Linked DNA regions of Styela clava. The protein of the gene in region 3 purifies or fractionates together with the protein of the main gene of each other region. This does not show direct contact. Links are inferred from orthologs where the notes say so. Each region holds a gene or a part of one and is shown on either strand. Other genes may lie near its edges.

The links.
Region 1: the proteins of dnaJ homolog subfamily C member 11-like (region 3) and armadillo repeat-containing protein 1-like purify together in Homo sapiens (affinity purification with mass spectrometry; 4 studies listed by BioGRID and IntAct, counting the BioPlex papers as one, with this or other methods). This does not show direct contact. The link is inferred for Styela clava from reciprocal best matches to the Homo sapiens genes DNAJC11 and ARMC1.
Region 2: the proteins of dnaJ homolog subfamily C member 11-like (region 3) and MICOS complex subunit Mic60-like purify together in Homo sapiens (co-immunoprecipitation; 3 studies listed by BioGRID and IntAct, with this or other methods). This does not show direct contact. The link is inferred for Styela clava from reciprocal best matches to the Homo sapiens genes DNAJC11 and IMMT.

Annotation. Positions count from the first base shown.
Region 1 is NC_135261.1:2,118,266-2,128,874, forward strand, and holds armadillo repeat-containing protein 1-like, read right to left. Parts: upstream 4,688-10,609; 5' UTR 4,548-4,687; coding exon 3,675-4,547; 3' UTR 3,510-3,674; intron 3,192-3,509; 3' UTR 982-3,191; downstream 1-981.
Region 2 is NC_135250.1:12,328,925-12,340,423, reverse strand, and holds MICOS complex subunit Mic60-like, read left to right. Parts: upstream 1-6,250; 5' UTR 6,251-6,452; coding exon 6,453-8,825; 3' UTR 8,826-9,250; downstream 9,251-11,499. Other genes in the region: FAST kinase domain-containing protein 2, mitochondrial-like, read right to left, coding at 11,267-11,488. UniProt on the Homo sapiens protein: Component of the MICOS complex, a large protein complex of the mitochondrial inner membrane that plays crucial roles in the maintenance of crista junctions, inner membrane architecture, and formation of contact sites to the outer membrane.
Region 3 is NC_135253.1:1,589,947-1,601,031, forward strand, and holds the start of dnaJ homolog subfamily C member 11-like, read right to left. Parts: upstream 4,191-11,085; 5' UTR 2,726-4,190; coding exon 2,654-2,725; intron 2,503-2,653; coding exon 2,376-2,502; intron 1,987-2,375; coding exon 1,916-1,986; intron 1,298-1,915; coding exon 1,196-1,297; intron 813-1,195; coding exon 687-812; intron 262-686; coding exon 139-261; intron 1-138.

The DNA.
Region 1 (10,609 bases), on a different chromosome or scaffold from region 3:
ATTTATTTCTGTACATATGCATACCAAGATGGCGGATACCAGAACATAGTATGTGTACCAAGTTAGGGTTAGACCATAAATTCAGGTATAAATACTTCGGGAGTAACTTGGCTAGTCCCCGAACTCGTAATGAAACTAAATAAAGGAAAATTGTAACCTGGTACACATACTATGTTCCGGTGTCCGCCATCGTGGAGCACATACTACGGGAGTACCAAATAAATTAGTACAGACTTCAGTATATAAAAACTTAGATGATATAAACTAATATGAACAATCAATTATTTTATATTAGCTATCTGATATAAATCCAAATAACTTGAAAACCCAAACAAACAGAATGCAAAGATATCTGGAAGGCAAGCCATGACTTTAAAAGACTGGTCAACACTAGACAATATGGAACAGATGAAGAATTCACACATTCGATGGCCAGTATGGCCAACAGTGATGGCAAATTGTATGATTTAACAGGCAACATAATACAAGTAATCACCAATTCACTTTGGTTCTCAATAATTAATCGTGAAAAAAACTTGAAAAGTAAGCGAACAAACAGAATGCAGCAATACCCAGAAGTCGAGCGAACTCTAAATTTAAAAACGAACGTCCCCACCTACCAACAAAAACCCGGGATTCGAATCTCAAAGTTCGAGTCAAAATTACCTTCAACTTCTGAAGTCCAAGAATTTTTGTCAGCTTTGTAGTCTGAATACTTCACAGCCCTAGATATGAATCCCAACTGATCGATTGAGAAAACAATATCCTCGAAATCTTAATAAAACCTCTTTCTATACTAGAAATTATTGAAGCATGAACTGCCAGAACAATTCTATCCATACACACTGTAATCCATGCTGTCATTAATCGCTTTGGTGATTCCATTAGTTAAATTGAAGACAAATCTGGCATGATGATAATCAAATTCCAGTAGCTTCCATTGCAGTTATCCTAAACTTAATTCTACTATTTACCTGAATCCTATTTTATTGAAAACACAAAAAATCAAAAATTATGTCAAAAAGTGAAGATAAAAATAGTCCGGTCAATTATAGTACATTAATATTTTTCAACAACAAGAAATAAATGAAACAGAGCGTGACTAGCCAGAAACATACATGCCATACAGACATCTGCCAGTGCTGCTATTATTCGCTTTCATATTTCTTAGCGAGATTTAGATTGAACTGAAGTAGGCAAGACCAAATAAAATTGTACGTAGTGGCATATTGATGTTTGACAGTTGCCAATAAGGATTCAACATGCATTTTTCAATACGATAATTTATATGCTTTTTGCTTACTGGGAGCAAAGATGTAAACACAGGAAAAATGGCCACTGAGCAATGTGATTTGGCAGTATGTTTCGTAATGTTCGCCAGGGTTGTTCCAATTTAAAACATTTCCAATTTCCAATTTCAAAATTGTCAATTTTTTTCGGGGATCTTTTCTAGACTAGGTTACCGAATGAGAGAAATTTCAAAATTGTATTATGATATTTTATTTGCTTTTGGTAACCTCGCTTTCGTCATTAGCTTGCTAGACATAAAACACAGCAGTAAGAAAAGTTTCGAAAAAATGAATATTTCATTTGAAGCAAAACCACCAGCAAATTGGCAATTTCAATGCTAAACAGGTAAAATAAATTGTCAAATAAAATTCCTAAATTTTTTCAAAAAGCTAAGATGAGGTGAATAGAAATAATGGCAGTAAAATGATGATACATAAAATATGCTTACATTGGTATACTTCAGATTACTAATTAACAAAAATCAATAGAGCATGAATTGACAGGATTTTTGCACCATAATTGGGTATTACTTTTGCTGCCAGTTCACACACCATTGATTTTTAGGTTGAAATGAGGGTCAAATACACCAATTAGAAAGGACATCACATTTGTTCGAATATATATATTTGAGGGTCTGCAATATTCAGAAAGCAATTTAGCATGAGGCAAATAATAAACTCTGCCAATGTTTTGAATGTCCATGCCAGTTGTTCTCACTCAAACGATGGTGCGCGTCCCCCCCTCCCCCCCAGTGAAGCTAATTAAAAATAAAAATATTTGTTTGTTTTGGCCTGCTTTATTTTGGATATTTATATTTTTTTATTGTTTGGAGATTGCGATTCCATCCACCTACTTTCTGCGTGTTTTTTGAATGAAAAATATACTTTCTCGTTACTATCTGTTATTTGTAGACTATTGTCAGCTAGATATTTTTTAGGTTGGGCGCGAGACTTGTAAAATTCTAAAAAGGGGGCGCCGCTTAAAATGTTTGTAAAACCCTTATGAAGTGTATCTGTATAGAAATTCAAAACGTTAGCAAAACTTCAATCATTTGCTTCTTGCTGGTAGATAAATGTTCTGCAATATTTGTTTAATTTTTCTAAATTGTTCAGGCAAGGAATTTTTAGTTGAAACTACATACTACAAGCAGATTTTCAATTTGCTATTCCATTACTGCTAATGTTGCGAAATTGGTACTCCCGTAGTATGTGTACCAGGTTAGGGTTAATAAGCCATAATTTTATCCCGATTTTCCTTATTTTCGTTCTGTTATGAGTTCGGGGACAGTTTGTGTTAGCCAAGTAAATATACCCCCTGTCCATAGTTTCAGTCCCTTTAGACAACTTGACGTAAAAAAGGAAAAACAAAATTAGTTACCTCCATATTGGTACACATACTACTGGAGCGCCACAAAATCAAATATATTCAGAATTTCAGACCATTCAAAATTAAAATCAACTACAAGAGGGATTCTATGTCTATGCTTTCCTAACAATACCTTTCTTGATCTAGCAAATCAAATATTGAACATATTTCGAAACATTTCGATAAAAATTTGAAGTACAGTAAATAGGAAACAGTCAGAATTTCAGATATGGTGAATGAGAAACTATTATTTTAAGCTTTTAATGATAAACTCCCTAAACTGGAAAATGACTCAAATTAAAATGAGTAAAAGGTACAAGCTTGTATCGGACTGCCCCAGTCCTTCATAAATGCTAAATCAGAAAATATTACTATACTGAAAATAACTAGTATAAGAACTATTATCATTGAAAACTCGTTCGTGACGCAGTGGCAAAAAATGTTGTTCTATATCGATGACAAACAAAACCAATAAACTGAAATGCTGAAAATTTTTACCATGAGAATACCTCCTACAATAGGAGTGGAAGTGGTGACTCCTCTTCGGCCCATCAGGCTAATCAGGCTATGGGCCGCGGCCCATCAAGTTGTGTAAAGAAACTATTCACTTGGCTAACACAAACAGTCCCCAAACTCATAATAAAACTATAATGTAAAAAATCTGAACAAAATTTTGCCCTAACCCTAACCTGGTACACATACTACAGGAGTTTATTTTTTGGTTCGAATATTGACAATTTTGTAAAAATTGAAAATTTTGGTAAGATAATTGAATTTTTCCTGACGGGGCCGCGGCACATCAAGCTTGTGACCCCGGCCCATGGGTCGTAGAGGAGTCACCACCCCTGTAGTACAATAGTTCCCACTGGAAGATGTTCCATTAATATAAAATTCGCCCTACCGCTAACGTTTTTTTGGCAGTAATTTTCTGGACCAATTTTTCGTGGAAGGGATACTAATGGATGAAATTGCATGAAGATTATTTACAAAAGTCCGCAGTTTTTTTCATAAAGTCAGTTTCACCAATAAAGGTTTTTATTAACTGCACTCACTACGCTGCCGAACCAGGACTTTGCAAAACTTCCCACTGCTTCTGTATATCCAGGCCGCGCCACACTTTGTTTATTTTCTTCCTTATTAGGGGAATCCCCCAAGTCCTCTTCTAAATAGGGGGGTAACTCGTCTGATCTGTCTGCATCATCGAAGGAAACGAGGACTTCCTCCCCGCTTTCGTTCTTCATGACTTGTTTCGCTGTCATTTTCCGTGTGTTATGGATTGCGTGGACAAGACTTTCCGCATGCATGTCAGATCGGGCTCGGATAGTACATCTTTGCGACGCCATGTTAAACGTAATCGAAATAACGCCAGTTACTCGTAGGAGCTCATTTGTACACTCTTGTTTTTTATCCTCCCCATCAAGTCCTTCGATTTGGAGCATTATGACTTTAGCTTTTTTGTTACCCCCCAAGAACTTCACTGGTTCTTTGCCAGCTTTTCTAGCGTTTCTCATCCCAGCCCTGGTAATAACACCACTGTTATTTTCAACAGACACTGGACGGACATTACATTTGCTTAAAAACAAGATCTCCGACGCTAATTTTTTACAATCATCATTAAAATTTTCTTTCCCAGCAATTTTGTTTAGCAAACTCTGCAATCCGACAGTATTTTGAAAATGATGAAGCTGGCGTTCGTTGCGTACCGCTTCTTGTGCAAGGTAGCGCAATGCATGCAAAGCTTCAATAATAACCACTGAAGGCTGCTCATCTGGGTCAGTAAATATGAGCAAAGAATTTACGTCGTTCCGAAGCATGTATTGACGATTAGTGTGCACACTGGCAAGCCTCCGAAGTTCTTTGACAATTGATAATGAAGTTGCCGTCGTCGCCATGATGCTGTATGATCGATATTCACAAAAATGCCAGCAGAATTAAGTTATTTTATTAAACTACATTGAAAGTGCTTATACACAAGATTCAACTAACTCTAGAGACAGAGATAAAGGGTCTGGTATGGTTTAGTACCACATGCACTTCTAGTTGGCCTGGCTCAACAATTTTTGCATATGTCAATCCTAACCCCAGCCTGACTACATCACCAGAAAAGTACGTCATTTCCACGTCACAGTGGCGTAATGAGGCTCACCAAAGTATGCGGATGGTCGTCCAAAGCGCGCAGACGATCACCTGAAATCTAGCAAGCTATTTCTCTCGTTTTCTCGTCACTGGATCACGATAGGAAAGAGATCGCCGACTTCAGCGAGTTTGTTATCAGCGACGCAGATGCCATTTCGGGCTATCGTAATTTTTAATTTAGCAAGCCCTATGACGTGATGGTGACATAAATTTTGGATGTCATAGCCAGGTGGTTGGGGTTAGGTATAACTGGTCTCGTGTAGTTTCGTACCTAACGTACTTCTAGTAGGCGTAGCATAACAATTTTTTGATATGTCAATCGTAACCCCCATCTGACTACGCCATCCAAAAATTATGTCACTACGACATCACAATCACGTCATAGAGCTTGCCAAATATAAGTACGATCGCCCGGAAATGGCATCGGCGCCAACAATAAAGAACTGACTAACGTCATCGATCTCTCTCCTATTGGGATCGTAGCGACTTTGGTAGCAACGAGAAAACGAGAGAAATAGCTGTTCGATTCAAGTGCAGTTTTAAGTATTCTGTGGCGTCTGCAGCTGCCTCAAAACCATGGCGGTATTTCCATACCATGGCCGCTATGGCCAAACCTATGGCAACTGATTTTTTAGCTGCCACAAACCAATGACGAGCTGCCGTTAGCGCGGCAGCAAATTCAAAACCAATGGCAGGTAAAATTTTGCTGCCGTAACCACGGCAGGTGGGCCGTAACGACAGGGCTGTCCCTTATGATGACAAATATTGGGTAAGTTTTTCTTATGGATACAGTTTTGATGGATTTGGGGTTAGGGTTAGGGTTTAAGTAGATATAATTCCGCATGATCAATTGAAATCTGGTACATTATTTTGTGATTATACCGTAATACTGATACGTTAACTGAATAGCGCTATAAAACCATGGCTGCCACGGTTCATTCGTGGCAAGAGCTGCCATGAAGTGGTAAAAACTGAGCCTCGTTCGATTTTTCGTACCGGTATAGTTTGAGGGCTCTATTACGTCACTGTGACGTCGTAGTGACGTAATTTTTGGATGGCGTAGTCAGGTGGGGGTTAGGAATGACACGTGAAACAATTGTCATGCTACGCCCACTCGAAGTATGTTAGGTACCGGTACGAAACTACATAGGTAGGCTACCAGTACGGGGTAGGTACGGTACGGTACCGGCACAGAAATAGGATAGGATTTACATATTTATCCCGGGGGAGAGGAAAGCCGATAAGACAGCTCATCTATATGGTGAACCACGGCCTCTCGTCCAGTTACCGGTACCATTCCAAGTCGGGTACCGGTATGGGTTTAGTTATATTGTTTGTTTTCGGAAGCATGGACTTGACGGTGGAGGAAGCCGTAACCGACCAGCGGTTACGTGAACCACCCAACGACGGTGAGGAGTCCAGCAATCCTCTCGCACATAACCATCCCTGCATGAGATTCGAACCTGCGAACCCACGCAGAGTAATTAGAGGTGCGGTGGATAGCGTATTGCTAACGCTTAGTCCTTTGAGCCACACCGCCGCGCCGAAATATGAAAATCCTGACCTACCGGTATGCTACCAGGTAGCGTGGCCTATTTATTTTTCTCTCCCGTAATGATGGATAAATTATAGACACTTTAGGCTAAATATTTTGATATCAAATTAATCTAAGCTGGCATTCCATTTTAAACTTTTCCGTGGCAGAAAAATTTGACAACACGCAAAGCGAACAGACAGCATAATGAGCATAAGCTAAAAGCCCAAAGTGGTGAAATGCGAATTCTGGTTGTGTCATTTGCGCGAACAAACTTTGTAGTTTTGCGAGAACTTTGGGCGCGGAGTATTTGTGTAAACCGTAAATATTTGTGGTCAGCAATTTTTGCAGGAATGCATTAACCTATATGAGAAATCATTTTAAAAATGTATATTAAAGATAATAATCCTTTATGCAAATAGATTTTCGCAAGAACGAAATTTTACGATTATAAAATTCAATGGAAAACCTTCTGGGAGAAGACCTTACTATCTGTTAGTTGGGGCTTATCTTGTGCTGGATATTTTTGAGGTTAGGCGCCAGACCTTTTACATTTCAGAACAGTGAGATTGAAACTACTGCCGTTGAAAAAAAGCGAGCGCCCGATAAGGGACTTGAACCCTTGACCGTTGGATTAAAAGTCCAACGCTCTACCGACTGAGCTAACCGGGCTTACAATAACAACGAATCAGATTTGAATCTGAATTCAACTTGCTACGTTTGCAATTCTCATTTCAATTTATGCTATGTTACTCCAATAACACAGCACTCGCGAATTTTATCCACAATGAAGAATTTCATTCAAAGACATTTGAAATTTATTTATTAATTTTGCTTCCACTCAACACATTACTTCGTGATTGTTTGGGTGAGCGTGTTGGGTGACCGAACACCTACTACTTCTTTTATCAATACCTTTCCATCTAAAATCTGTACGTTTCAAACCTTACTCTAGGTTTGTTCGCTTTCCCGATTCTATAATCAGTTACTTTTACTTTTGTTTTTATCTATTTTTTTATCGTCTATTGCTGATTATGGAGTCGAAATAAACTTATACTTATACTTATACCTTAATCAAGCTATCTCGGCAAATGTAAACAAATCCCAAACGATAAGAATAGCCTAGACGTGTCGGCTGAAAAAGCTTTATATTTGAACTCACCATGCTAGCGGTGTGTTTATGTTACACAAGTTAGACGACCGAATGATTTACGTTGGTATTTTTTTTTTTATCTTTTTATACTTGTTCGTGTGTGTAAGATTGGTAAATTGGCACGTGTATTTTTTACATGTTTTGACTTTATTTAAAGCTTTACCGGTTTTACCAATAAATTTTGTGTTCATTGTTTGTGTAAGTTATTTTTTCGGGGAAATCAAACTAATTTTTTAATTATATCCACGAATAACTTGAAAGGTCCATGAAAGATTGCACAAATTTAATCAGAATTTACATCGCCATTTCGTGTCCAATAAATCTCAACAATGCAACGAAAGACAGTGAAACTTAGTTTAAATTGATCTGAAATTGTCCGGGTGACAAAATTCTATTTGTCGTTGTCGAACTATCAAAGCCCAATATTGCACCTCAAATAGCGAATCTCTTATAATGTAACCGTTCATTCAAAATATCGCACATGTTTGCAGCACCTTAAAGTGTTCTCCGGGTGAGGTTCTTTCTGGTTGTTTCCCCGAGCATTGATTTCCCTATTTATGTCCGTAACCATGACCAATTGGGAATACGTCAACAATGACGTAACAATTGCAATTTATGTAGCCGCTCGGACACTTCTTTGTCCAGACAGATATTGATGCACATGTGTAAACATTGCTTTCTTATATCGATTTTGGATTTAATTTGTCAGTTTTCAGTAGTGTTTCCGAAAATGAGTTGTAAGTTAAATAACCTGATTGCAATTATGTCTTTTGAGCAGCTTTAGTTTTGTTGAAATATATTCAAAAATTAGTCCTAGAAAAACTGTGATATAAAAATATATGAAGAACATGTAAACCAGTTCGCAAGCGCCAACTCTCCTAAACACTTTTAAAATAAGCATCAAAATTTTGGTAAAATAGGGGAAAGTTTTCTGGGGTCAAGGGTCAAGGAAACACCCATGTCTTTCCATAACTGTTGGAGGGGATGGTTATTTTAGGCGAATTCAGTAAACCATTCACGGACATGGGCCAAGGAATAGTTCACCGGTTATTTGTGGATACATAAACTTTGTGCTGCTGCGAACCCGGTTAGCTCAGTCGGTAGAGCGTTGGACTTTTAATCCAACGGTCAAGGGTTCAAGTCCCATATCGGGCGTTATCTTTTCCCTCGACGATTGTATTTCAATCTCACTGGTCGTAAAATACTAATAAGGAAATTGAGATAAAAAAAAAGAACAACAACGGCATAGTAACGAAACGATTGATATAAAAGTTATATACAACACTTCAACCACTTTTTGAGTACTGAAAAAGGAAAATCGATTTGTTCCATTAGTCACAGATAGGAGTGATTTTTCTCGGCAATAACTATCATCCCAAACAAGCACGGGATTTCTCTCTATATCATGCTCTCTTTATCTATATCATGATAAATTATAGACACTTAGGCTAAATATTTTGATATCAATTCAATCAAAGCTGGCATTCCATTTTAAACTTTTCCGTGGCTGGCAGAAAATGTTGACAACACGCAAAGCGAACAGACAGCATATTGAGCATAAGCTAAAAGCTTAAAGTGGTGAAATGCGAATTCTGGTTGTGTCATTTGCGCGAACAAACTTTGTAGTTCTGCGAGAACTTTGGGCGCGGAATATTTGTGTAAACCGTAAATATTTGTGGTCAGCAATTTTTGCAGGAATGCATTAACCTATATGAGAAATCATTTTAAAAATGTATATTAAAGATAATAAACCTTTGTGCAAATAGATTTTCGCAAAAACGAAATTTTACGATTATAAAATTCAATGGAAAACCTTCTGGGAGGAGACCTTACTATCTGTTAGTTGGGGCTTTTGTGTGCTGGATATTTTTGAGGTTAGGCGCTAGACTTTTAACATTTTAGAACAGTGAGATTGAAACTACTACCGTTGAAAAAAAGCGAACGCCCGATAAGGGACTTGAACCCTTGACCGTTGGATTAAAAGTCCAACGCTCTACCGACTGAGCTAACCGGGCTCACAATAACAACAAATCAGATTTGAATCTGAACCCAACTTGCTACGTTTGCAATTCTCATTTCAATTTCCCAAAGATCTAAAGAGGAAAAATGATGAGGCTGTTTATATGGAACTATGTTGCGCCTACAACACAGCACTCACGAGTTTTATTCACAATGAGGAATTTCATTTAAAATTTATTTATTAATTTTGCTTCCACTCAACACATTACTTCGTGATTGTTTACCTTAATCAAGCTATCTCGGCAAATCTAAACAAATCCCAAACGATAAGAATAGCCTAGACGTGTCGGCTGAAAAAGCTTTATATTTGAACTCACCATGCTAGCAGTGTGTTTATGTTACACAAGTTAGACGACCGAATGATATACGTTGGTATTTTTTTTAATCTTTTTATACTTGTTCGTGTGTGTAAGATTGGTAAATTGGCAAGTGTATTTTTTACATGTTTTGACTTTATTAAAAGCTTTACCAGTTTTACCAATAAATTTTGTGTTCATTGTTTGTGTAAGTTATTTTTTCGGGGAAATCAAACTAATTTTTTAACCTATTATATCCACGAATAACTTGAAAGGTCCATGAAAGATTGCCCAAATTTACTCAAAATTAGGCTTACCATATATCTGTGGCAAAAAAACGGGACAGTACGGATTGGGCAAGCCAACCTTTGTTCGATTTCGAAGCTCAATATTAGTGAATTTTTTCCATATCCTTGTGGGCAGAATACGGGCGTCAAAATTAGCTCTTAATCATATTAAAATATCCACTATTGGTTTTTGACTTCATTAAGGGAAATCGCTCTTTTATTCATTAGAATATTTTTTTCACCTTTGATGATTCAGCGACAGTACGGTTGGATGTTAAATTAATGCATGGTGTTCATACTTCTTATCATACTATGGCATAACAGTTTCTATCTCTATCTTAGGGTTGCCAACCGTCCTTTATTTCAAAGGACAATCCTTTATTTGAGATTTTTGTCTTTGTCCTTTTTAAGATGATAATTGTCCTTTATTTTTTCCAATATCGATAGTTATAGTACTGTGGCTGCAGGCATTCGATCCCTTCCTTAGTCTGTTGATGGAATGCTAGCAGACGAATCTAATAACAATTCA
Region 2 (11,499 bases), on a different chromosome or scaffold from region 3:
AAAACTAGAAATATTTTCGCCGTAAGATTTAATCGTTAATTTCTGAATGCGATATATTTCGGTTTTGTCAAGTTTTTTTTTTATAATGCTAAGAGCTATACTTGGGCTTACCATACGTCCCGGTTTAGCCCGGACAGTCCCGGTTTTGACGAGCTGTCCCGGCGTCCCGGCCGGTTGACTCAAATGTCCCGGTTTGTCAGTACGGCTGTCATGGGTGAAAAATTCATATTCCTTAATGTTACAATTTTTTTTAACGGTGGCAGCCCATTTACCACTGTTTTGCGACACACTTCGCTGGTTCAGAGAGTAAAAAATTGCTCTATTGTTATGTCACAATCGGTATATGTTTTAATGCGTTTTCTGGCGTTAACTACAATGCCGTTAAGTTGTCGAAATGCCATAAAAGAAGTACAAATTTTCTAATGAGTTGAAAGGAGATTTTATATAGAGATTATTTTGTTTCGTTACAGGCGCAAAAAGGCAGGTACTACACGTAAAAAAGACGCCGAGTAGCAAAAGCGAGCGGAAAACGGACGCGAAAGGCGACGAGAAATATGTATGTATGTATGTATGTATGTATGTATGTATGTTTATTCGTCTCGTAAAAGCAATATAAAAGAGTAAGTACTTATAAATACTGAAGACGGGATGTATGCACAAGACCATATTGGCCTAAAACACAGATGTGCGGCATACACCCCTTTGATTTATATAAATTTTAATAGGGTAAATCAAATATGTACAATATGGTCCTTTATACAGGCAGTTGTGCGAGGAGGGTGGGTGGAAGCGGTAACAGGGATATGGGTGGAGTGTACAAAACTGTTTGTACAAAGGAGTTTGTTAGACAAAACAACATCTATAAATAGAGACACAACACAACATGAAACACAATGCATATGAATATAGTAATAAAAAATGTTTCTAAAAAAAAAAAAATTAAGAATTTGGATGAATGTACAATACCATTGAGTGATGATACCACATACTATAAAACGCGGGAATGGTCAAGTTTAAAGGGTGTGTACATATATGGTATGCACCACTCAAGGGCGACAGTGTTATAAGTGGTCTATGGCTGTTCTGGCCAAAATGTGACCCTACAGGTTTTGGCGAAATATGATAATAAAGGTATGTATCAAATGACTCACTATTATAAGGTTTTTTTTGAAATTCTGGATTCAGCCAAAAACAATGAAGTTTCAAAAAAAAAATAAAAAAAATTAATAAAAAGCATTTCCACAAAACCTATTATGGTTGCATTTCAGCCAGAAGATTAGAAAGGTATAAAGGTACAGTGGGATAGGGAATGATAAGTTATAAAGAGAAGCCATTTTACCATGTCATGGATTTTCCAATGTAAATTAAAATAATAAAATTATATGGTATCCCGGGATGAGCAGAAGAAAAAGTGGTAGCAACAATGGAAATAAAATGAACAGCATGCTACTCAAACAAAAACCATTGTCCCTACTCCCTACTATTTGAGCATTCTATCTATAACCTAAATTGCTGTGCTTTTGTTGTTGTCTAATTACGTATGATAATGAAATTAGAATGGTGTGCTAGTTATTAATTCAGTCCATTGTTCTATATTGAATCCGGGTGAAGTATCCTGTGGAGTTATTGAAATTGTCAGCTGGTCTATGGTGACTGAAGAGGAGGACAGTTTCCTGATAGTTCATTCAATCCAAATAATCAACAGCTCTCCTTTTCAGTGTTGAACAGACCTTAAAAAAAATAATCTCCAAACAGTAACATGTTCAAAGCAGAGAAAATTGCTAATATGATGATAATATATATTGTTTAAGTTTGGAACGAAATTCTGAGTTCGATTTTGAATTTTTGATGTCATCGGGTAGGGAATTCCAAGCTTTTGGTCCACATACTGCGATTGATTCTTGTGAAATACTTTTACTGACAAATGGAATAAAAAAATTATCTTTATTTCTGCTGTTTGAATTTGGGTTTGCTTGGAACAGGCTGTTCAGGCTGGTCGGAAGCTCTCCAATGTGACAAGAGAACATCATATTACATAGTTCGAATTTAGCTAAATCCACAACTCGTAGTAGCCTATGCTCTTTAAATAAGTCATCAATTTTTTCGCGATTACCTCTATGAAAAACTCTTCTAATAAAGCGATTGCAAACACTTTGAATTTTTTTGAGAATGGACGATTGGCGATGAACATAAGCTGAGGCACAATAACGAATATGGCTTTCTATCAGAGAGTGGTATAGAGATATTAAACAAGATGTATTTAAGTAGTTGGCTATTTTCGTAATGGCACTAAGAGACGACCTTGTTTTCGATAGAACCATATTGGTGTGTTGTTTCCAAGACAATTTATCATCGATCATTACACCCAGAAAGCGAGTCTGATTAACTCTTTCTATATTTATTCCATTTAATTCCAAATTTTGTTGCAGAGTTGGACACTTTTGCTTCGGGGTGCTAAATATCATATATTTAGTTTTATCGACATTAATAGTGAGTTTGTTCGCAGACAACCAAGCTTGAATATTTTCTAAGTCGGTATTTGCCTTGGTCAAAAGTTCAGGCAAGTTTTTGCCTCGAAGATATGGCGTTGAGTCATCAGCAAAAAGCAAAAAGTATGTGCATTGGAGCGTATCAGGAAATACAATCTTTCGCCTGTAGTCTCATGGAGTGACGTCAGAGTCGCCTATCATGTTGTTTCATGTCATTGGTCCGAGTAACAGAGAAAAAATCATTCTGCGATTTTGTTGATAGTGAGTATCAACGGCTATTACAGCATGGCAACACTCGGTTTTCCCTTTATTACCTGCTTTGCAAAGGATTACGGAACTGTTTGAAAGCTTGATAAGTTATTCAAATTCTCAAGAAGGATGTCCTACTCTTATGCTTAAATGTTCCAGCGTACGAACTTCACTTGAAATTCATCCTTTGCCAGCTCACCTACTTCAACAAAATTATTTTAATTTTGAAAAAAGATAATACTAATGCCGTAGATCAGGGGTCGGCAACTTACGGTTCCAGGGCCGGATTCGGCCCGCAGAATATTATAATCCGGCTCGTGACGCTTCACTAAATTATAGTAACAAAACAGCCGTTTTGACGATTATATTTTTTAAACTAAATTATATTATAACCTAACAAGTATATAATTCACAACTACTCGTTTAATGAGCCTATAATTTAATTATAATTAGACAAATGGCAACAAAACGCAGAAAAATGATGCGAAGTTCAAAGGGTTCAATGGCGCTGAAAATATTCAAATGCAATTTTTTGCGATGCAATGAGGATGTATTACTGCTTGATTTTTATTATAAAAAGTATCATCCATTCGGTTCCAGCTTTCTAAAAATATGTACGGCCCGACAATGACTCGCAACCCTTAATTTTGTCCCGCGAGCGACAAAAGGTTGCCGACCCCTGCCGTAGATGTCAGAGGTGAAGCTAAATTTGAAGGAAAAAGGGTGAAGTCTTTTAATTCCGTCGCAATAACTTGTACTTCTGGAATCCTTGGAACGCTCTGGCGAAATCGACGTAACTGTATTTAAAAAGAATGTTTGCGGTATACAAAGCAGCATGATGAAGCCTACAATGCTCCCCGGGCCCCACATATGGACAAATTCGAAGGGTGATTTAAACTGGACTAAAGTGTTTGGTTTGCAAAATGGATAAATGATATGTTCGGTTAGCTAGTCAGGTTTTGAATAGAGATGCACTTTTCGACGAATACTGATAAAGAGATATTTATCTGAGCATGGTTCAAATGCAATTTGGCTCACTTTGCGGTTGAATTTAAGTGGACAGAGATGTTTAACGTTTTTTCTAACAGAAATATTAGCATTTCGAATTTGCAGAAACTCATTGATTTTGTTTGCCGGAACATCGGCATCTGTTGAACAGATTTTCTTCATTGTTAAAATTTTCTGGCCTGGAAGCAGGTTCAGAATGCCAGAAGAAAATATAAAAGCACTCGTAACCTGCAAATTTAATGGTGATGTCTCTTGTTATCAGTTTTATGACAAAATCAAAACAAGAATTTTTGAGAAGGGTTCCATCTGCGAACAAATACTTTTGGTCTAAATAAATAATACAAACTATTTTTTTGTGTTTTTTCTAATTCAATATTACAAAGACTGGCAATCAACCGAATGTTTGCCAAATCGCACCGTCCCGGTTTTTTGTTTCAGATTTATGGTAAGCCTAGCTATACTATCCATCAATACAATTTCAGCAAAAGACTTTAATGGTAATATATACAGCCATTGCTCTTACAATTATGCACTCAATGGGCTTATTTTGTTGGTAACGTTTTTTATATAGTACAAGAGAGCTATGCTCAAATATATGGACACGTAGCATAGTGGCAAATTGTGATGGCGTCATAGCACGCAAAAAAACGATAAATGAAAGTGATAGCCTTCCAGCGAAAAATATAATTTTTAGACACTGAAAATTTCGATTTCAGCCTGCTTCATGCTACGTCAACTTAAGTGTATTTAGAGAAAGTGGATGGGCATTACCAGTCTGGATATTGCCTATTGTTTTGAACACATTTCATAGTTCAATTGTAAAATTTTAATAAATTAAACAAAAATAAATACTTGTAGCAAACTAACATGTATGGTATTTTGTGGTTAAATTTACTACTTTTTTGAGAGTTACCGTTTGTAATTCATTGTAGTTGTAATTCAAAATAAAAGGAAAAAATCAGGCAGGCTGCATGTGAAATTTAAGAAGCTTACTAAAGTTTGGCACGTTTACAATATTCGTATAATTGGAACACAAATTAATGTTTAAAACCAATGACTATGGCCTTTGATTTAAATAAATTATAAGCTATATATTAGAGACTATGTTGGGTTAATTATCATTACATAAGCGTGCTACCGTGTTTTCCCGATAATAATACCTACCCTGAAAATAAGATCTAGCCTGAATTTTAAAAATGATTTTAATATGAGCCCTCCCGTTAAAAGACCTAGTCAACAACGCAAATTTATTTTTACCCAGTCGATAGCAAGAAATCCCTCCTACACGTTTTAAATGATTGATAGTCTATGTTTTACAGTTATTTTGACTGAAAACGTGTTATTCAAAAGTAAATAGATATTAGTTTTCATATTTTGTACATTTAAAAATCTCGTAGTTCTATACTTTGTAATTTTGTTTTTGATAAATGAAAATATAAGACATCCCCCGAAAATAAGCCCTAGTGGTATTTTTTTGGAAGAAACTTGAAATAAGACCCAGTCCTATTTTCGGGGAAACACGGTACGTAATATCAACTTAGATTTTAGACAGAGTGTTCTTTTCATATTCCACGGGAAAGGAAAGCACATATGTTTTGTTGATCATATGATTTCGGACTGAAGACGTGCGCTTACTGGCTTTTCCAAAGTGCAAATTTGATAAACCAATTTAGTTTTATTATTGCACACTGTTCATTAGATCAACGTGTGCCGCAGTCGATCACGCCATGTATGCATAGAAATTGGGAACAGTAACCGCAAAATGATAATGGAATCGGATGCGTTGTTTACTGTCTTTTTCAATCTGCTGTCAATACAAAAATAAACATTTCGTTTGTTTTATTAGTATATTTTTGCTTTTGTTCACGTTTGTTTTTGGTTGACGAATCAATAAATCTCTCTTTGTCTATGTGCTTGTAGGAATTCAATACATTCCGAGCATCTATCTTCTTTTGCAATTTAAACTCGCCACTACATTTAATGCCTCAACAAGTGAGAGGAGACAACAAGAGTTTAATTATTTTTGTTACACCATCCTTTACTGCAATACATCAAATACGTCTACTTCTACATTGCCATGCATAAGCTTTACACTTTATACAAATTTTCGGACCTCCAGAAGTATGTGCATCAAGATGACGTACAACCTGAACATAGTGTGTGTAACAGGTTAGGGTTCAGGTTGTGCGCCATCTTGGTGCACATACTTCGGGAGCGCCCAAATTTTATATGAACTACAGTGTCTGCGGTAGCGTGAATATTGATTTTGCATGCGTTGGTATTACGATTCGTGTAAAGAAGTTGACCAAGAGGATTTTTAAAACTTCCAAATTTATTTTATATTCATTGAATTCCAGGTATTTCATCGGTCAACTTATGTTTGTCGTAGGTTATTATTATTTATTTACGGTTAAACCGTAGTAGTATATATTTACGGTTAAACATCGAAAAGATTTGATTCATGCCCATTAATTCTGTCATCGTTCCACCGTATTAGCAAAGCCATTATATAATGGCTCTGGTATACGGTAAGTCTTCATTTACGGTTCCACGAAATGCGAAATTTGAGCAGCGACACTCGCAGCGGTCACACATGCGACTTCACTCCGCGAGGTTTGTTGGTTTTGTTTCTTACAAGCAGACAAGTGTCAGACGCCGATGGACTTCGAATCTCAGTGAGCGGCGTGTATTTATTTGTAAATCGTCATGTTGCGGATTAGAAATCGGTTGGGATGGCCTCGGAGGACTTATCAAAATATTACCGGGAGAAGGAAGTTATCAACTACCGCATCTAACTCTAGCAGCCCCGTTGTTATTGCGGGCGCAACAGTTTTATCTGGTGGTTTAGTTGCAGTTGGTGCTGCTTGGCAGTTTCCGTCGTTCAGAGAAAGTGCTGAATTGAATTTTCCACCTGCAAAATACTTATTTAATCCCATTTTGGGGCCGCTGAATAAATCGATAGAAGCTGTCCCGAAAATTAAACAGTCCAACAGAAAAGTAGGTGATGTCTTTGAATCAAGTTTGAAAGAGGCAAGAAAAATTAAAGAAAAGACTGAAGCGAAGTTGGAAGATGAAAAAGTGACTGCTTCTCATGATGAGAGACAGGAAATTTTATCTAAACAACCAATTGAAGATGAAAGTTCTGCAACCGGTGGTATTTTGTCAGAGTCTGAAGTGAATATTCCCCAAGCAGTATCTGAACCAGTTCCAGAAATGCCGACTTTAACGAATGATGAGGTACAACCAATAAAAGAGCTAGTGACGGACGTTGAAACTGAACAGATTGGTGAAAAAGAAATACAGAATGCACCACAGTTGTTGCCTGTTACAACACCAAGTGATTCTTTACCAGATAAAGATGGGAATCATTTAGAACGTACACCTGAAGAAGTCTCACATAATATCATAAAACTGGAGGAAGATGTTATTGCAGATACTGCTGCAATATTGACAATACTGGATGACGCTTTGTCATCTTGTGCACAACGTTGCTTGGAGGCTATCGATAGTAACCTAGAAGCATCTAAAGCGATTGCTTTACATACATCTCTTCTTAAAAGTGCTATGGATGAAAAGGAAACCAGTTCTGAGGAAAAGAAAAACCAGTGGACGGATGTTTCAAGAGTTCTTGAGCAAAAATCGAGACTCCAGCAGGAGGCAGAAAACCTAAGCCAAGATGCTCGACAGGAATTATCAAAATTGGGTGCGATTATATCTGAAATTAAACGGTTCAATAATTCAGATGCAAATCAAAAAATAATTAGTGCTGAAGAAAACTGTAATGCTATGCGCAAGGAATTAGAAAATGCTTGTAGAGAAGTCAATATTAAGCTTTCAGAGTCACATGTTATTTCACAATACAAAGATTTGATCGAAACAGCAAAAGAACAATTTCGTCAGGAGCTTATGTCTGTCATGCCTGATGTTAACGTTGAGTCTGGGTGGCGAAAATTGAGCCAGAAGCTTTCTCAAGACGATCTTAATGCCCTGATTGCCCATGCGCATCGTAGAGTTGATCAATTGCAAAGAGAACTTGCAGAGGAGCGTGCAATATCAGTGAGCAGAATGGAGATGGCTGTACGAGCAGCAAGGGAAAAGTGGGACGAGCAGACTGTTATAGAAACTGAAAGAAAAATGGAATTGCTAAAGCAGGAAAGTGAAGTCGAATATGAAAAAAAACTTGAAGAAGCAAGACAAACTTTTGAACGAGAAATGAGAGTGCAACTGAAACGGCAAGCTGCAGCGCATTCTGAACATCTTGCTGACATGCTTGGAATACAGGAAAAGCAAGTCAGGAAAGAACTGGATATGGAAATGAAACAAAAACTGGAAGAACAGGAGGAAAATTTCTTAGCACAAATGGAAAAGGTAAAAGAAAAGTATGAAGATGAATTGCATGAAATAACGGATAAGTTTCAGTTTGATTTGAACAAAGCACTTTCAAAAGTAGCGGGTATTGAAACTGCAATTGACGGTCGAGCACACATTGAGAATGAGTCTCGGAAGGCACAAGAGTTATGGCTTGCTTGCGAAGCTCTTCGAATTGCTGTGCAATATGGTGATGACGGTAAACCAGTTCCTCTGGAAAAGGAATTACAGGCTATTTCACAAGTTGATGGTATAGAGTCGCAGATATTAGAAGTAATCAAAGCATTTCCCGAGCGTGCTAGCGACTCTGGTGTTTACCCTGAAGAAGCGATACGTCTTGCTTTCAAGCAAGTATCAAAAATGTGTAGACGTCTGTCTCTGATCAACGAAACAAGAAATTCATTTTTTTCATATTTTCTTTCATATTTAAAGTCACTTTTAATCGTAAATCGTGCCCAAGCAGAGCCTCCACAGAATTTGGATCCCAAAGAGTTAGATACTTTTAAAATTTTGTCCTATGCGGCGTATTGTTTGGATCGTGGTGATTTGGAGCAAGCTGCAAGGTTTATGAACCAACTTAAAGGTGAATCAAGAAGAATTGCTGAGGGATGGCTTAAAGAAGCTAGATTATTGCTTGAAACCAAACAAACCTTGCAAGTTTTATCAAGCCTTGCATCTGCGTCAAGTATCGCCGCAAATCTAGAAGTATGAGAATGCTCGAAATTTATAGCAGCATCTTTTTTCATCAAACTCAGATTTACAAATGTTTATATCTGCATGTTTTGAAATTTATGTTGTCAACTGTAATATTTTGGTGAAATGCTATTTGATTTTTTTATTTGTCAGTGAGGTTTATCACATCTTTCTCCAGACCAGGCTCTGTGCAAGCAGCCATTGATATGTAATGAGCCATGGAACAGTTAGAATTTCCTTTTCAAAATAGCCCAGAAAATTTGGAAGCGTTTTGTGAAGTAAGTGGTGGGCAGAAAGATCTCAAACCTGTGACACCAACATAGTGAATAATAAATCTTATGTGTTAGCCACTAGGATCAGGGTGCATGCTTTAATAAGTTGAAAGTATTGCTTTCTTTTTTGATTATTTAAATGTCAATCTGATAAAAATATGTTAAATCTGGTGCTTGGTGTCTTTGTTATAGTGAAATGTAAAGGATTTGGTTGGGCAACCCCGCAATTCTGTTCAGTATGAATTTTCCTTCTCTTCGTCCATGAGGTAGGGATCAATCTACAAAACAAGGGCTCTTTGATAAAATCTAGGTAGTCGCAAACTATTCGACTGGTATGGAAGAAACACTTTTCTTGAGAACCCTGTCAGAGCTATTTCACATGATAGCCCCATCCAAATGACATTAAAAAGAAATTTCTTACTTTCAACATGGGTTTATTATTTTGAGTGCAACATTCAACATTAAAAACGTTTTGAATAACATAAATATAAGGCAATACAACAACAATGATGATCTCAAAACACACTTCATTGATAGAGCGGACCATGCTTAAAAGCTAAATTCACACAGGTTTATGAGCTATGATTTAATGGTTTTAGGCAGTTGCAACAATTGTTGATTTCATACCATATTCAGTGGTGGGGTTCAGGACCTGTTTCTGGAATGTCATTGTAATGAGCGAACCCGATTTTGTTTAAATATTGGATGACTGCAGCACATGGGTAATATGCACCCCGGCTGAAAACTGTTACCGGTATTGCATTTGGAGTTTCGAAAGTTGTGTATTAACCCTTTCCGTGCCGTACCCACGACAAAACTCGCTAGATTGCGGCGGGTACGTTGATGTACTCTACTGTTTTATTTAGCAATCGGTCACAAACTGTTGGTCTAGTTTTTCCGGGTTTTAGTTTATTGATAAGAAGTCTTCTTCGAGATTAACATAAGCGACGGTAAATCTCGCTTTCGTTTACCATGGGAATTTTATTTGCGGCGGAACGAGGGAGTGTTTTTGAAATTTATGCAAATTCCGGTGTTTTTTGGGTGGTAATAGAAGACATATTATCCCTTCCATCTACCAAAGTATTTTGAGTTAGATAACGAAATTGCTACAGCAATATTATATTGTTTGCCAACCAAGAAGCGGTAACAGTAAAGGATTTAGCGAATATTTCTATTTTTTATCACGGTTTGAAGTTTCAACACCCAGGAAAAAAAATGCCTTTTTTCTATCCGGTTTGTGACTCAGACCACCCCTAAATTTTTTTTCAATCGCCAATTGCAAGCTCTTTAAATAAGCTTTCCAACGAGCCGTCAGTGGGCAGCAGAGGATCATTACTTTTTCGTTAGTCGATCGATTAGTTGTGGGGGTACAAATGCATAAAGTCGGCGTAGCAAATACGATTATATAATAAAAAATAAAAATCGCATGGAAAGGGTTATTTACATAGGAAAAATCACAAGAGCATTTTGTTGTAAAACAAGTATTTGTGATTAAAAAAGTTAGGTTTATAGGGTTAGGGTATGCTCTTAAATAACGAATCTTTTTTAAATAAGGCGATTTTTTTCAAGTTTTTGAATTCCACCACAGCTTTCATTATACTATTTCATGATCCATGATGTTAGGGATCTAATGTTATCATAATCTAATAGATTGTAGTTTCCATGCACCGTTAAAATATGATTTTGTTCTAAAAGTATTCAAGGAAGGAACTAAAGAAATCCTAATCAATTAAAATTAAATAGATAGGTAATATCGCAAATATAACACAGTGCATTACAAGGTGAAGATGGCATAGCTAGTAAACATAGCTTCTTAAAAAATGTAAAAGTTAACAGTGCAAGGAGATAAACAGTACCATATCAATATTTGACAATACGAAATGTTTTTGTAGTTTATACTTTATATCATATGACATTTTTTTGAATGATTACATTACATATGATTTTGACTTTTTAAATAAAAATAACAAGTTAGTTTCTGTATTCAAAATATACAAACATGATGATTGAAGCATTGGATTATCCAAACAAACTTTTGAGCTCTGTATGATTGGAACAAAGTATTTGCCATATTATCTTGACCATGTATAGATGAACATTACTGTCCCACAATACATATATATTTATAAACACTGCATGCATGTAATAGACATATACTGTCACTACATATCACAACATATTTATTAATTATTCGACCACATCATCAGTTTTTTGATTGAAAATCTTGTTTTGCAGCAAATTCATCTTGTACTCGTTAGTTTTGTTGTCCCAATCATAATGAGGAATCGTGATAACTCTGGCACCTTGCGCTCTCAACAGACGTAGAACTAATCTTGTTTTTCCAATAGCGTGTTTGGATCCGAGACAGAAACGAGATCTGGGCAGAGGGATAACTGCCACATTTTGTACCTGGAAATAAA
Region 3 (11,085 bases):
TTGGACCACCCTGATGTATACTATAAGAATTTGTTAATACCATTGTTTTATACAACTTTAATTGAGAAGAAAATGTAAAAGCATAATACATGTTCACAATTCCTATTTCATCAATACAAAATGAAAGTCATATCATACCTCTCCCCACATTAGCGGTGAGATTACTTGTCGCAATGCAACAGATAGATCTCCTCTACCATGGCCATTCTTCGATTCAAGATTCCCAGATATTGTTGCAGTGTGAGAAACAGTGAGAGGTGCCTTAAAAAGTAGATATGAAGGTATTTTGACACTGCACATCTCAATTCTGACAAAACATCGACAATTGAACTGGGAAATACAGCTCCAAACACAGAGAACCATAAGTCAAAACTAATAGTCTAATATGACGAGAGCACTTGGCTAGTCTTGTGTAGTCGAAGATATTTGTTTTCCAACTTCTGATTCTGACCATTCAAAAATACAACGGGTTAAGAGAAACAAGGCAGTCTCTGAATTCAACAACATTCTGACTTGGGAACCAAGTCCTGAATCTGTGATAGGAAACTTTGAGCTACCAAAATGCGCCGACAAAGAATCACAACGTTCAAAGATTACTATATAATGGCTACATTTCTACATGAGGAAGCGTTTTTATGAAACTCAAAAAGCAGAAGTAACATAAATAACCGCCTAATTGCTATTACCTCTACGCTTTGAGACAAAGATAATTTAGTAATTTCAGGAACTGCAACTGAGTCATAAAATTCATCTTCTTCATAAGGTTGTCCGTCAAACAATGATGTTGCATTCACATTCATTACAAATTGTCCCTGCAGCATAACAGAGATTTATTTTTTTGAAAAAGCAATCTTTAATCAATGATTAAATGCACTATATTAAAAAAATACGACTCAAGATCATGATAATTGCTTCGCGTAAGATTACATAAGTCAATTAGACCAAAAGGTGCTACAGCACAAGCCAGATTTAGAAACATTTGAAACAATAATTCAGGCATGTTATTAACTTATTAGTATTAGAAACAAAGCAGACGACAACATTGGAAGATGGTGCTATAGATAGGTTTTCAAATAACCGTGCCAACAATGATTTCATAACATTCATTCTTCAGCCAGCACGCACATAACATGAAGTCATATTCTATTTTTGTGAAATTTGAATGTTACAATATTTAGAGAAAAAGGTAAATTACAGTTGGGTGAGTTCTCTCTTCCAATCTTTGCATTTCCTTTCTTCTTTGTAACCTTTCATATTCTTCTTGAATTTCTTGTGGTGTTTTCTTCCTCTCCACAATCTTAAAAATAGAGGGACATCATACAATGATAGCAGTTCTCATAAAATAAGACTTGTCAGAATTAAGGATGAGCAGAAACAAGATTTTGGGTACTATTTCACCACTGATTTCGTATTTTCTTCGATTCGATATCGTAGGTTAGGTTACGCTTACGATAAGTTAGGTTATGTTGTTAGATTATTTCCTCACTTTTAAAAAATACTGAACCGAAAAAAACAGACATCTATTCAGCAGAGCAACTAAACTACTTAAACTACTTTACAGCACCTAGCTTGGAGATGGGATTTTTTATGCTTCATTTTTTTTCTTCCTGTTAAGATCTTCATGTTGAGATCTTTCCCTCACCTAGTAAATCCCATGTACGACGAGGCAAATTTGTTTTAATTAGGGTTACTTTCGATATGATAAATACAAAGAGAGTGGATACAGTATGGTGAGGCTCTACCTAAACACAAAGTTTGTCGGAATAGTGTGAAGGAGTAAATTGTTAGTTACCAAACATAGATTTGGACAAAAGCAATTATTTTATTAAACACAACAACAAAGTTAACATCAACAATTCAGCAAAACTAAAATAAATCCCCTCAGAGTTCAACAAGAAACAAAAAAATCAAATACCTGCCATTCTGCTTCTAATCCTTTTCTCCCATACATATCATAAATGTATCTCTTATTTGGGTCGCTGAGAACTAAAACATATTGATCATGAATAACAAATAAAATTGAGAAGACACAAACAGCCAAACGCAAAGATGACTCATCTACAAGCAAAGTTAGGGAAAACCAATGGAATGTCAAGATATACTGAGACTATATAGATTTATAGTAGTGCATTATGAGGAAGCAAATGCCTATTGACGAGAAGCTTTTGATGTCAGACCGACTAAAAAAAATTTCTCCAGTACTCCCAACAATTGCATCATCTCGTATTTTCTTCAAAATAAGAACGCACACAGAATGGTTTGAATGTTTGAACATCTTCATTTTCTATTGGATTATTCCACAGCAAATTTTGGCTGCACATTATTCAATCAACTCACTTTTGTTTGGCAACAAACTAAATTGAATTCACACATACCATCATATGCATACTGGACTCTGTTGAAAACTTCTGTAGCTTCTCTCCTGTATACTTCATTATGTTTGTCTGGATGATACTGCATACATAATCTACGATACGACGTCCTCAACTCATCTTGACTAGCCTGTGACAATCAAATAAGAGGGACAGCATGAAGCAGAATTCAAGTTAAATCACAAATCCAAAGAAAGAAATTTTTATTTCAAAAGGCACTTAATACCCAAAATCAAATATAAAGTTCAATAAATAAAAGCTAAGACAAAATAATGATGTACCTGTCTGGACGCATTTAGAAGACTATAGAAGTCTTCATTATCTACTATATCTTCTAATCCTTGTGCAGACATGTTAAATCCAGAATTATTAAATAAAACTTTACGCAAAAAAATACCTCACATATTGATAGAACCACTGAAAATAGCAAAGAACGTTACTATTATTAAACATACAGTATTATCATTGACAAACTTCAAGCTGAATTATTGTTCACTGACTTTTGTTCATTCTCGATGCAGTGAAAAAATACAAAAAACTTTGAACATGAAACAAAAAAGCAATTAATTGCAAAACAGTTTGCCAAATCATTGTATTAGTGTTAACACTAATACAATATTATGGCGAACTGCTTTGCATGTCTTGATGTTAGAGGTTAGGACCTAACGATTTTAATTGACAAGAAGAGATGTTATTTGGTGGAAGCTCCTGCATCTTGAACCTATTTAACCTGGTAATCAGGATAATAGCATTGATGATTTTTGACGTAGGTCTTACACTGCAACACAACTATAATTTACAATTTATTGCAGATTGGAACTTAGAAAAGTGCAATGTAGTAATTCCATCTAAGAGAGAAATTCTTAAATAGTCAACTGAAAGTCTTAATATTAATTTATTAATCCAGTATCAGTTCACAGATATGTAAAGAAAAAATGTTCCAATAATTTCACTCACAAATAATATGTCAGGATACTGATATAACATGAATTACCGGTATATATGGAATAAATGTCAAAAATGTTTCCAATATGAAGCAGGAAAATATAGAAATTATTAAATAGATTACAGTGTGTTATGTAACTCAATTCTCATAAGCATATAGGAACATAGATTCGATTCAAAGAAATATACTTCAGCCGAATATTCTTGAGCACCGGATATGCACGCTATAAGTTTTTTGCAAACACTGACAAATTAGTATTTAGTATATCTCTCAACTTATTTTATATAGATCTACTGAATGTGAATCAGCAAATAGTTATTTCAGCCAACAAGCAAATGTTGCATATTTCCAAACATTTATGATATATATGTACTTAGAACCTATAATACAAGTGCAGTTTTAAGTATTCTGTGGCATCTGCAGCTGCCGCAAAACCATGGCGGTATTTCATTACCATGGCCGCTACGGCCAAACTCATGGCAACTTGACTTTTTAGCTGCCACAAACCAATGTCGAGCTGCCGTTACCGCGGCAGCAAATTGAAAACCAATGACAGGTAAAATTTTGCTGCCGTAACCGCGGCAGGTGGGCCGTAAAGACAGGGCTGTCTATAATGGTGACAAATATTGGGTAAGTTGGAACGTTTTTCTTATGAATACAGTTTTGATTGATTTGGGGTTAGGGTTAGGGTTTAAGTAGATATAATTCCACATGATCAAATAAAATCTGGTACACTAATTTGTGAATATACCGTTAATACTGATTACTGAATAGCGCTATAAAACCATGGCAAGAGCTGCCGCGGCTCGTTCGTGGCAGGAGCTGCCATGAAGTGGTAAGAACTGCGCCTCCTATAATAAGCATTAAAATTTAATCTTCGTTCTCTTTTGATTGCTCACTTTTTGTCCTTTGATGGCGACTTATTAAATACATAGCAACACATATTGATATTAGAGCAGCTAATAAATAGTCTAATATTACTCTGGCATTACCAGATAATGCCATTTTTATTGGCTCATCATCAAATGATCTGGATTCAGAATGGGATTTTGACGCCTTTTTGTTTTGATATCTTAGAGCTCTATCAAACTCGGGGTCATGCCTTGGTATATTATATTCTCCGGATTTAAATCTATTATAATCGGATGATTTTCCATATTGCTGGAAATCATATTGTCTTCTTGTGGACGGATTGCTCAACACCTCATAAGCTTCAGAAATTTTCAGAAAATCATCTACATTATCCGATTGTCCAGTATCAGGATGGTGTTCTTTGGTTTTCTTGATGTATGCTTCTTTTATTTCAGATGACTTTGCATCACTGGATATACCAAGTGTGTCATAATGAGTTGCATATGTTCTTCGCGACAAACAGCAAAAATTCCTTGAAAAGTGGAAGCATTTTCGTACACTTTTTTGGCAAATTTGTGTCTTCTGACAACACATATTAAATATTGCAATCATTCTACATAGACTATACAAATTGACAAAAGTTATTCATAGCGTGAGGATTATTTCTGTTAAAATGAGAAACAGAAATGAATCAATTTATTAATAACGCTAAAAACCTGACAACCAGCACACCAAACCGCCTTATACTGTTGTAGTCCAGTAGGTCTAATTCAATTCGTTTATTACTCCAGACCGCTGTGGTCCATATAAAAATGCCCATAATACCGTACTGTAATACAGTGTGGTTCAAACTTGGTCATTACTGTGGCCGTGTCACATATCTGCATCTGGTGTTATAGGTAACAATTAGTCATAGTAGTAGGGCATTTGCGTGTTGACTTTGATGTTGCTTACTTACAAAAAAATAAAAAATCTTTGGTAAATCACTATCGTCATTGAATTGAGTTGCGTTATGACTAGCTGAGACAATCAGTAGCAAAAGCAGAAAAGTGATGTTGATAGGGTAGATCAGGGGTTCCCAAACCGCTGCCTGCGGGCCAGATCCGGCCCGCGTAAAGATTTAAAATGGCCCGCCGAGCTTACGTGAAATAGTGTTCAACAGATTTTATTTCTACCTTTATGTGATCTAGATACCGCTAATTTATGTCATTATCCGAGTTCAAGCACATGTTTATCGTAACAATTCAATTATACCAGTATATCAATTATGGGTACCGGTGTTAGGATGACAAAGGACAGTAATTTAGTTATCAGCCATATAGGAAAGCTCAAAGATGTCAGAAATCAAACGAAAACTAGACTCAGAAAACTGACATTTCTTGAATAAATGGCAGTATTCGTATTACTCCATTGAAAAGTATCAAACTTTAGAGATTTGTCTACTTTGCCAACGAACTATTCCAGTTCTGAAGGAATACAACATTGAGCGCTATTATGAGTCAAACGAGCATGTTTCAAAAAAAAGTCAAATGAAAGTCTTGGGTGCTACATTCTTCCGGCCAGCGAATATCTTTCTGATTCTAATTTTGGCCCGGCCCGCGACCAATAAAGTTTGGGAACTCCCGGGGTAGAGATTTAGTAGAGTGAGATTTATTGCCACAAAAACAAAATCAACACTAATATAAACAATAATAGATAATAATACAATAAAGAAAATATTTCATCAGTAATAAACAGCGATTGATTATTGTTTAGATGAATAGGGGTCTAATATAATTTAGTACCACATGCACTTACGGTGGGCATAGCATGACGAATTTTGCCTATGTTCTTCCTAACCCCCACCTGACTATGACATCCAAAAATTACGTTACTACGACGTCACAATCACGTCACAGAGCTTGCCCAAGTATAGCTACGATCGACCGAAACGGCATTTGAGCCGCTGATAACGAACTCGCCAACGCCAGCGATCTCTCTCATATCGCTGTATCGTTATCGTTGCGACCAACGAGAAAACGAGAGAAATAGCTTTAGGCCGCGAGCCGAGGCCCTGAAAAGCGCCTAGAAAGTGAGTTTCGTAGCGCACATCAGGTAACTACCTGAAAATGATTTTAAAATGTTCCTTAAAAATTTAGTAACAAATATTGCCTTGTTCCCACTTCCAAAAGTTGCACGTTTTACGGAAAAGAAGCTTTTACTACAAGAAATATGTGTAGGCTTACCATAAATCTGAAACAAAAAACCGGGACGGTGCGATATGGCAAACATTCGGCCAGTCTTTGTAATATTGAAACGTCTACCATGTCATTAAGGGTATATACGGCTGTAAATTTCTACTGATCATTGAATTAGGAAAAACACAAAAAAATAGTTTGTACGAGTATTATTTATTTAGACCAAAAGTAGGGACGGACTAAAAGTAGGCACTTGCAAATTAGGCACTTTTTTAGGCACTTATTTAGGCACTTTGGAAAAAAAGTAAAAAGGGCGTAATACCTTTTAAAAACATAATTAATTAGTTAAAAATGGTCAAATTAAATGTTGAAAACGCAAATTGCAACGGGCAAACTCAATAACAATAATTAAAACGTAGTATAAAAGGCAGTCGCACGCGCTTGGTCACCACATATGCTAGGCACATATTTAGGCACTTCAAAAAATAAATAAAATGGCAGTTATCACTAATAAAAGACGGAGACATAAACATATTACCCACACTGATTAGCCTGGGTAAATATCCAATAGATGCATTTGAGTCTAGTACTGGAATTTAGAAATAATAAATTGTTACCGGTAGGCACTTATTTAGGCACTTCGGAAAAAAGGTGAAATGGACGTAGGAACTCCTAAAAAGGTAATGAATTAGTTCAAAATATTTAAATTAAATGTTGAACGCAAAAATTGCAACAGTTAAATCCAATAACGATTTTAAAAACGTAGTATTAAAGGGAGACGCACGCGCTCTGTCACCACGTATGCTAGGCACATATTTGGGCACTTCGAAAAAAGAAGAAAATGGCAATTATCACTAATAAAAGACAGAGAAATAAAAATATTACCCACACTGATTAGCCTGGGTAAATATCCAATAGATGCACTTGAGTCTAGTACTGGAATTTAGAAATAATAAATTGTTACCGGTAGGCACTTTTTTAGGCACTTATTTAGGCACATCGAAAAAAAGGTGAAATGGGCGTAATAACTTTTAAAATGATAATGAATTAGTTGAAAATTGTGAAATTAAATATTGAACACGCAAATGGCAATATGTGAACCGAATAACAATATTTAAAACGTAGTATTAAAAGGAGTCACACGCGCTCGGTCACCACATATGCTAGGCACATATTTAGGCACTTCGAAAAAAGAAGAAAATCGGAATTATCACCAATAGAAGACAGAGAAGTAAAAATATTACCCACACTGATTAGCCTGGGCAAATATCCAATAGATGCACTTGAGTCTAGTACTGGAATTCAGAAATAATAAATTGTTACCGGTAGGCACTTTTTTAGGCACTTCGAAAAAAAGGTGAAATGGACGTAGTAACTCCTAGAAAGATAATGAATTAGTTCAAAATATTTAAATTTAATGTTGAACGCAAAAATTGCAACAGTTAAACCCAATAATGATTTTTAAAACTTAGTACTAAAGGGAGACGCACGCGCTTGTTGTTGTTGCTGTACCAGGTTATGATTTTTAAGTTTCAGGTATATATTTTTGTGTTTGGCCGAATCCCATGTATCTCTTGAAAAATTCAGGTTATTATATATGGAGAAAATGTATGCCCAATATTGTGGTATTATCATACTGTGAGGCATAGAGTTATTGTATAGATCTTTGTTAATAAGTTTCATTTTCGATCCTAAAGAATAGAGGCATTCATAATGCCAAAATTGGTTTGGGATTTGACCGGTAGCAAAACACTTCATCTTTTCGACCTGGCACGCTTCCACTTTCGACTTTACGTCCACCATTGCTATTCCGCCATCCGCCCATGGTTGTTTTAAGGTTCTTCTTCCTATGGCTTCTATCCTCTCAGGATACCATAGGTATTTGAATACCTCACTCTCCGCGCGTCTCATGGTTTTCAAAGAGATTGTTTTGACTCTTGCGTGGAACGTAATTATGGACATTATCAGCGAGTTTATAGCAATTTGTTTGCCATGCCAAGTTAAAAGTCTAGGCTTTAAAGAGTTTAGGGTCCGAATTAATAAAGTTATGATTTCGTCCCACATTTTTACTGGTTTCCTATGTCCAAATTGTATGCCCAAAATTTTGACGTTTTCTTTTATATATTGGCTATACGGAGATTTTGCGATTAGGTTATGTGCCGAATTGGTGATACAGAGTATTTCAGTTTTGTCCTGGTTATTTTTTTGTCCTGAGGCCAAATGAAATTTGTCGAGTTCCCGAAATATTTCCTGTATTGAGGTCTGGTCTCTTACAGCAAAGGTGATATCGTCGGCATACTGATCTAATTTGTGCTCATGACGGCCTAATTTTATTCCACGGATGTTTGTATTTCGAAGCACAGATCTTGCAAAGGGCTCAACAACGATAGCGTAGAGCAACATACTCAGGGGACAGCCCTGTTTTATGCCGCTGCAGATGGTAATTTTTCTCGTCAGCCGACCATTAACGTCAATGCGACTTTTTATATTCGAGTACATACTTTGGATGATGTTAAGAGTCTTGCGACCAAGTCTAATGTGTTGCAAGACATTGAATAGGAATTGATGGTCAACCTTATCGAAGGCTTTCAGGTTGTCAATTAATATTATTGTTCCGGGGGTGTTCTTTATTTTGCAGTGCCGAATTATTGCATCTATATTATAGTGAATGTCATACATGCTTCTGTTAGGAAGAGAGCATTTTTGGGTCGGAGTGATTATGCGGTCCATGATGGGTGTGAGTCTTTTTATTAAGATTTTAGAAATAATTTTATAGTCCATATTGAGGGTCGTGATTGGTCTCCAGTTTTTAAGGTTTGATTGGTCATTTTTTTTATATAATAATTTTACTTTTGCAATTTTGGAAGATTTTGGAAAGTGGCCGAAACTAAAAATGTTATTAATGAGCTGTGTAAATTGGCGTTTGATTAAGTCCCAGAAAGTAACATAAAACTCCTTTGATAATCCATCCATACCGGGTGATTTGTTGTTTCTCAAAGAGTTAACGGCCTCAAAAACTTCCTCGCTGGAGACATATTGTTCAAGAATGGTATTTTCATCCGCTGAAATTTGAGTGGGTCTCATCATTGATAGGTAATGTTACTGTTGTACGTCATTGGTTTGATGTTTGTGGCCCCAAAGGTTAGTATAATAGTTCTCCACCATGGATAGTACTTCCTCCTCCTCGGTGACCAAGGTGTTATTTGGAGAAATTAACCCTTCTATTGTTGTTTGCTTTGCTCTTTTTTTGATATTCGCATAAAATATTTTCGTTGGCCGTTCATTTTGCTCTAGTGTATCGATTTTCGCCATTAATAGATCTAATTGTTTCTTTTCATCAAGTAGTATTTTCAACTCTGCTTTTAGTTTTTCGATTTTGATGACGTTTTCTTTTAACCCTTCTTTTATGGTAATATCTATTAATTTGCGAATTTGGGAGATATTATTTTTCTTGTCCTTGGTTCTGTTTTTGGCATATGCGATCGAAATTTTTTGAATTTTATGTTTCAGATGATCCCACCAGTCTTGCAAGTTTTCATAGTTTTCTATTTCCGTCAAAGCAAAATCATAAGAGTTTTTTATTATTTTAATATAGATCGGGTCTCGGTAAAGTACAAGGTTGTCCCTCCATGTCCCTTTTCCCCAGCGGATTTTCCTAATTTGTTTCAACTCAATTATAGGGCAAAGCAAGTGGTCAGATATGGTATTCGGTATATGGCCAATGGTTGAGATCAGATGTTCCAAATTGTATGTGTTGTAAATTTGATCAATCCTGCGTCCTTGTGTTCCAGTATAGTAGGTGAATATCTGTTTTTGGGGATATTTTTTTCGAAATGTGTCGTTAATATTATTTGTTCTGATGAAATTTTTAAATATCTTTGCAGACGGGCGAAGCTTGAAGCTACTTATTTTCAGAGTGTCGATCTCTTCCAAAATCAGGTTGAAATCCCCCACTATGATGAAGTCATAGAAGTTACAGTAGTTTTTCAAGACAGTCACCAAACTTTCATAAAAAGCCTTTTTTGGAGGCCCATTTAAAGCGGGGGCGTAAACGTTGAAAATTTTCACTATATCATTATCGATCTTCATTTCGATACTATCGCATCTATGTTCAATATGAACGGCATAGGTTGTTGGCACAATATTATTCTCAAATTTAACCATGATTAATGTTCCCTGCCAAAAATTTGCGTGATAATTTTCGGATTTATCCAATGTATTGAAGTATATATTGTACTGCTGAGAGTTTGCCCAAAGCTCGATCATTTGTCGGTCTACCCTATGCACTTCTTGAATGCACAGTATGTTTGGCTTTTCACGCTCGATAAAGCTTTTTAGGTCGTATAAACGGTGTTGTAGACCGTTGACGTTTATGGATATAACTTTGATGCGCGACATCAATTGCTTCTATGAGTAGATATATATAGTTAGCTAGTTTTGCGGTAGCTAGCGTTTGTGGTGGTTTTAATTATGTATCCAAAATTTCTCAGAGAAGTAATTCAAGTAGAAGGTACTTTATATATTCCCAATAAGATAAATTTTCTAACTCACGTATCCGCAGTTGTTGCTTTTTTCTTTTTCCCAGTCTTTTTCCCTTCTAAGCTCACCGAGAAGGACGACTCTGATGAGCGCGTATCTTCTCGGCTTCTTTTGTTTGTATAATCCGTAATGTCATAGTTTGAATCAGATAAATCCAAAGGGTTGGGTAATGCTGTATTATTCTCCAAATTGGCCGGTG